Daphnia pulex: one gene and its partner. The protein of the gene in region 2 binds, or shares a complex with, the protein of the main gene of each other region. Links are inferred from orthologs where the notes say so. Each region holds a gene or a part of one and is shown on either strand. Other genes may lie near its edges.

Region 1 (2,839 bases), on a different chromosome or scaffold from region 2:
AGAAAGCTTTGGATGCGATTGATTCATCCCTAGAAGAAGATTTGTTTACCTTGTACCTTCATGCTCAAATCTGCGCACATTTCAAGCAATACAAGAAAGCTATCCAGCTCATCAATAGGTATTATAATTAGTTCATGAATATAAAGCGTAACTATTAAAAACCAAACGTTATTTTCTAGATCAATTTTGCAACTGAATTCTATAACCTTTGCTGTGAGTGGAACGAAAGATGTGATCAGATCCCAATTATGTTTTAAACTGTCGCAATTATTCGATGAAATTGGAAATTTGAAAGACGCACATCACCAACTAAGGCTGTCCTTTCAATATGGCATTTCTATGAATTGTCAAATGCTAGAATTCTATCATAAATTTACATGTAAACTGGGAGCACAAAAAGAAATTCCAATTCCGTCTGATTCTCATCAAGAGCAAGAGGAACTGATTGCGACAATTCTGGAACATTCGGATGACTTAACCCTTAATTACTTAATACGGGATTCTTATGCAGCGTTTAGCCTTCCATAAAAAAATGCAACTGAGAAATACATTTTCTATGTGAAAATTTTTTACTGTCAATTATGAAAATGACTTGGAAAAATTGCTGGAAAAAAAAAACAAGAATGCCGTGTCGATAAACAAAAAAAAAGTTAGTATGGCCTGAATCTCCTGTTGCTTTGATTATTCATATTTCTGCTGGGTGGAGTGATGGCGATGTCAATATAGTCTCCAATGGTAAAACGGCACTGTTTGAGGGTCTTCATATCATCTGGCCCGCGTTCTCCTGAGATTGTGGAACCTATTTCACGTCGAGACATGCTTAGTGTGCTTCGGTCGGGGAATACCTAAGCAGACAGAAGAAAAGAATGATGTATAATGATGAACTAACAAACAAACACAGCAGTTCCTCTTTACTTTAAAGTACTGTATGAACTAGAATGTACCTGAGCAAAGGAAAAGCGTGTTCCACGGCGTCTGGCTTCATAATTAACTTCTCTCACCAATCCAGTAATTTCTTGAAGAGTGGCATCCATCCTATAAATGCAAAATGCAAAATTTCATGAATTCTACGATTACACATAACTTTAGCCGTAAATATCACTTTTTCTTGGGATTTCCTTACCATGTATAAATTTGAAGCTCACTTGCTGGCACACTACCTCTTGCATAATCACCAAGACTATGGTGTCTTCCCATGGCACAGAAAACACGAAGTAACAATGGGCATGTCTGCAAAGAAAACTCAGTTCAGTCATATTTTAGATTAGAAAATGCAAAAAATGTTAGTCTACCTTTTCTCTGTCAACAGATTTTTCAGTTTCTCTATTTTCTTCTACTCGAACGGCCACAGCAGATTCTACAGTTCCCGTAGCCATTCTGTATGGTTTTAACTTCAAATTACTTTTCACAAGGTTCTTGAATAGTTTTAATGATTGAGTTAGAAGAGCCGGGAGAAACAAGATTATTCTGTTTCATGGACGCGAACAACTTCTGATGAGACAGCGCCTCAACCGGCTGATAGTGGCAATTTGTAATTTTGCCACATTGCCATCATGTGAATAATGTCTGCGGAGTGCGGGACGGCCAGGCGGGCCAGCGATCGAAAATGAATTACGGCCTTACCAGAGCAATAGATCCCTGGTCGGTTCACGGCTGTGTTGGCTTCCCCATCTCGATTTTAGGGTAAACGTAAGCCGATTTTCAGGGGGTTTTAGGGCGGGGCCTGTCAGAATTGTGAAGTGGAAACTTTAAAAAGAGCCATCTAGGCTCTCAAAAGTAGCTGGACGTTGTAGCTGACACACTCACTAGAGGCGCTTTTTAAAGTTTCCAAATCGGCTTACGTTTACCCTAAAATCGAGATGGGGAAGCCAACACAGCCGTGAACCGACCAGGGATCTATTGCTCTGGCCTTGCCTTACGCATTTCTTATTTAATGTAATAGTCCGCATCTACGCGTACTAAATACTAACCACTTCAAATAATTAGCTGCAATTTAATTGAAGAGAAGATTGGATTGGTGTTTATTTTTAATTTCAAACTAAGGATTAATCATTCAGAATTCGAATCACAATCGGAACTTTTAATCATGTTTTAATTAGAGAAAACTATGTTTTAACATTAATAACGTATGGCATTCTATCAACGGAGAAGTCTTTTCAAGCAAATATGTTGTCTAAAAATTATGTTTTTCATTTCGTTCTGAGTTGTGAAAGCTTAACCACATTTTAACTTTCCCTCGGCTCTGTTTACGTGCAATAAATTCATAATACGAAAGGAAATACATTGCAAGGCCTGTTTGATCGGGGTATCACGTAATGTCACAATCTACGGATATCAGAGAGAGACATCTATGGCTGAAAACATCGTGAAACTTCGTTCACGTTCATTGTGATTCATGCTGGGTAAATAGAATCTAAACAATCTAGAATATAGGTGGCAGGCGCGAACAATGATCACAATAGACTGCAACCCCCCTTGCCAACTCAGGCCTTTGCTCACTTTGTGATGTTGCTATGTTAGAAAGTTCGTAGAATCGGGAAATGGGAACGTCACATTGTAAACGTCAAGGTCATGAATCTCGTATCGCCTGTTGAGTGTTGACTAATGAAATACGTTTACTCTTAAAGAAAAAGTATGTAACAGTTTAGAAATGTCCTACCGTTTTGTGTTGTGTTGTGTTCTCTTTCAAACCATTGTTGTCAGTCAAGAACTAAGTGCTGCTATCGACCAGCATCCAGAAAGTTTTTGGAAATGTTCTCAACGTGAAAATCCTGAATGTCAATGCTTTCCGAAGACAAATGGCGATTTCAACTTACAATGTTCAGTTGGTGAGGGTTCT
Region 2 (3,790 bases):
TTTAACCGGTTGGGGATCGAGGTGCAAGTTGATTCAGCCGTGGAAGAGATTGTGGTCGAAGAAAAAAAAAACAAACAAAATATTCTCAAAAACATTTCCAATGCGATTCGCTGACTGCTAAGAGGATAATAAGAACCAAACAGACTTCCGTAATTGAGTACAGCTGTGCAAACAAATTTGTTCCAACTGTTGGGCGCGCCGTTGCCGGATGTAGGAAGACAACACAATTTACCAAATCGACTTTTTCATAGGAGGAAAAAAGCAGTTAGAAACAGCTACATTCCGGTTGTGAGAAATTTCTACCCTCCCCCTGATAAAAATTTGCTGTTCCTTTCTTTGTGTTTATAACACCGAGGCGAAACCGTATCTCCCGCCTTTCACATGTCACTTGTAAACCGGAATGAAAGTGTTCTGACTTGTCATGTCCCGCTACACACACTTCTATTGAGTTTCCAACAAACAGATCCAACTAGTTTTTTTTTAAGGCTTATCCGGTTTCTCCTCCAGCAGCCATTGACTTTAAAAAGAAAGCATTACTACTCGGATTACTGGAAAACGTCAGATGGCAACATAAACTTGCGGTTGGGTAACTTTTTAAATTGATAGATAAAATAATAATAAGACTTTTCATTTCAAATGAAAAAGAAATGTAGTAGAAACAACTGAAGGACAAATGCCATTGTCAGGTGATATTGTATCGTCTTGCAGGATTCCATCGAAAAAGGGAAAATTTACGGAATACGTGTGGCATTTACGCTATTGACTCATCAGCAACAGCTCGGGCGAAAGCAAAATCTGAATCACGAGCACAAAGTTGAGTTGATAAAAAAAAAAGAGTGGACGTTCTTCAACGTTAAATAAATCATGATTGTCTTATTTAACGCGAAGAAGATGATGAACTGCGACTGTAACGGCGATTGTTGCCACCTGAACGGCGATTGGGTGAACGAGACCTGGAACGGGCAGGTGGAGGTGGTCTCCTATCTCTGTCCCTTCGTGGAGGAGATCGTCGACGTAGGGGAGAACGTCTTCGGAATCTGTAGAAATGAACACAACAGATGCAAATAACCGGAATAAAGATTTACTTTAGTAGTATATTACCTTGGTGGAGATCGACCACCACCCATGCCCCAACGGCCCGGTCGATTTCTGGGTGGTGAATTCCGTCGAGGTGGTGGTGGACGGTTTTTAGGGATCAGCACAGGGGCGGCTGTGATTTCTTGTCCATCAATTTGGCCTAGAGATTATTTGAGATTAAAAACGTATTTATAGCAGTAACCAACAAACGTTACTTTACCTCCGTCCATATGCTTCATTGCATTTTCTGCTTCGTCGGCAGTACTGAACTCGATGTAAGCAAAGCCCCGGTGGAGGTGACTTAACCCAGCACGTTCGTTGGGAAACTCGACAGCTTTGATGGTTCCGTAAACGGAGAAAATTTCGTTAATGTGTTCCTTGTTGACATTGCGCGTCAGTCGGCCGATGTGGATTCGAAGTGGCTTGGGTGTAGGTGAACGATCGCGACGACGCCTCCGGGGAGATGTAGAGCGGGATCGTTTGTTTTCTTTGTTTCTGTCTTTGTCAACATTCTTTTCTCCATCCAGTTTTGTTTTCTCTTCATCAGGTTTGCTATCAACTTTTGGCTTATCACTCGCTGGGGCTCTGTACGTCAACAAAAATGCTGTTATCACAAGAAACTTGTTTACCGTCATCCAACTAGAATAATTACCTCTTTTTCTGGTGCTTCTTTAATGAACCGCTGGAACGTGAGGAACCTGATGAATCAGAAGAGCTAGATGAACTAGATGATGATCTAGAGTCTGAAGAAGAACTGCTGGATGATCGTGAACTAGAGCTGCTGCTACTGCTGCTGCTGGACGATCTAGAACTGAAATGTCACATTAAGCTGAAGGTTTCATTAAACACAACAAAGTTTAACACTACCTTCTGCTTGAAGAACTATCACTGCTTGAAGCTCTGCCTTTTTTCTTCCCAGAATCTTTGGTATCCTTTTTGTCTTTGCTAGCATCTTTTGATTTACTGGAATCTTCGCCGGCTTTCCGGTCTTTTCGATCGCCAGTTTCTTTGTCCGGCCTAAGTGATTTACACAAATTTAAAATATTGTTAATTTAGATTCATCGTAAAAATTTACTAAATTATTAAATGATGCTGAGGATTTAACTCGATTTACTCACATTTTCAGAAAGTTTTATTGAAAAACATACGAGTTGATAAAGGGGAGGAGCGTTAAAAACAGACGCTTAATGCCACTTGCACAACGTTGCCTGTATTAAATAGATTCTCGTTTTTATTTTTATGAATGTAAAGTTATAGTTTTTTAATTGGAACAAGTTATGTGAATTTTTTAAAGATTAAATCAAAGATTATTTAATTTTTTATTATTAAAATGTTAAACTAGTTGTACGACAGCCGACGGCAACGAAAAAATGTTTCGGCAATGATTGTTTTTGGGCTGTTGCCGAAACTCTACAAGGCCGTCAGTACGTATAGCAACCACTTGAAAACACTGGCCAAGTGGCAAAAGAAATGGCAGACAGGAGAAAGAGCAGGTAATCCCTTGCATGACTGTTTAAAAATATTATAAGCTTCCGGTCGTCACAATAATATTATGATGCTGTTTCAAATTTTAGCGGGCCACATTCGGCGGAAATAGCGGTCGTAAGAGAAATCTATGACGGTGAAAACGCCCAGGAAAGATTTGAGCTAGAACTAGAACGAGCTCTGGAAGCTGCTGTTCCAGTAATTGTCATTGAGCCAGTTCGACTAGGCGATGAAACGGCGCGATGGATCGCCGTTGGAAATTGTCTTCACAAGACAGCAGTACTTGCTGGACTTGGTTCGGTCATAACAGGTAAATTGTTGCTAGTATTCAGTTGTTGCATTATATAAGTCTAATTTTGTTAAATTTCCTGTTTAGGATTTTTCTGTGATAATCGTCCATACATATACACTCCATTAGGTCTCCTTTCCTTGCTGTGTACAGGACTGTACACAGCATCTTGGCAATTTGATCCTTGCTGTAAATACCAGGTAGAATACATACACTTGACTAAGTTGGCAAAGGTCATAGCAGATATCGGTTTTGCTTCAGGTTGAAATGGATACAAAAAGACTGGCCAAATTACCAGTTAATAGGTTGACCACTTCCAGTCCCATAGTTCTCGTAAGAAGAGATGATAACAAACGGAAGACTCTTCATTGCACCATCTGTGTTACAGCAGCTAGCATTACCCTTTGGAAGCTGTACTTTATTGCCTTCAAGTAGTCTTGTTATAAAGAAAACTTCCCAAATGTACAAACTGAACAATACATCCTTATTATATCAGAATGTATTAGAGATTCTCTACTAGAAATTAACGACTTTTTTTGCTCTTGGCCGCTCGACGCGCCATAAGTTTGAAATAAACGTTGGGTAGAATTGCACGAAGAAATACTGCTAAACGATAAAAGAGTGAGCAGAGCATCAGCTCTTGGGTTTTTTCCTTAATTGCAATGACAATTTCATATGCAGCTTGGAGTGGATCCGCTCCCGACTCCGTAGTTTCATCCGTCTGTCCATATTTGTCTCCTCGGCCCGTCAGCGCGTTCAGAGACAAACTTGTGCGGATGTATCCGGGGTTAATGACTGTCACATCAATCTTGTGACGATGGATTTCCGCTCGCAGACTGTCGCTAAATGCCTGAAGTGCATGTTTGGAAGCAGCATAGGCCGATCTGGAATCGACATAGACGATAAAAATTAAATATTAATGTATTCAAAAACATGATA

The links. The genes of interacting proteins can lie anywhere in the genome.
Region 1: RNA-binding protein with serine-rich domain 1-B-like (region 2) and histone deacetylase complex subunit SAP18-like share a complex: the UniProt entries of both Homo sapiens proteins name them as parts of the heterotrimeric ASAP (apoptosis- and splicing-associated protein) and PSAP complex. The link is inferred for Daphnia pulex from reciprocal best matches to the Homo sapiens genes RNPS1 and SAP18.

Annotation. Positions count from the first base shown.
Region 1 is NC_060018.1:4,705,742-4,708,580, forward strand, and holds histone deacetylase complex subunit SAP18-like, read right to left. Parts: upstream 1,519-2,839; 5' UTR 1,377-1,518; coding exon 1,293-1,376; intron 1,231-1,292; coding exon 1,124-1,230; intron 1,036-1,123; coding exon 945-1,035; intron 846-944; coding exon 651-845; 3' UTR 551-650; downstream 1-550. Other genes in the region: uncharacterized protein LOC124210509, read left to right, coding at 1-118, 180-528; protein toll-like, read left to right, coding at 2,651-2,839. UniProt on the Homo sapiens protein: Component of the SIN3-repressing complex. Enhances the ability of SIN3-HDAC1-mediated transcriptional repression. When tethered to the promoter, it can direct the formation of a repressive complex to core histone proteins.
Region 2 is NC_060025.1:2,684,533-2,688,322, forward strand, and holds RNA-binding protein with serine-rich domain 1-B-like, read right to left. Parts: upstream 2,280-3,790; 5' UTR 2,198-2,279; coding exon 2,196-2,197; intron 2,095-2,195; coding exon 1,945-2,094; intron 1,889-1,944; coding exon 1,730-1,888; intron 1,663-1,729; coding exon 1,298-1,662; intron 1,238-1,297; coding exon 1,102-1,237; intron 1,038-1,101; coding exon 878-1,037; 3' UTR 664-877; downstream 1-663. Other genes in the region: transmembrane protein 11, mitochondrial-like, read left to right, coding at 2,548-2,570, 2,652-2,872, 2,939-3,051, 3,113-3,286; dehydrogenase/reductase SDR family protein 7-like, read right to left, coding at 3,375-3,735. UniProt on the Homo sapiens protein: Part of pre- and post-splicing multiprotein mRNP complexes. Auxiliary component of the splicing-dependent multiprotein exon junction complex (EJC) deposited at splice junction on mRNAs.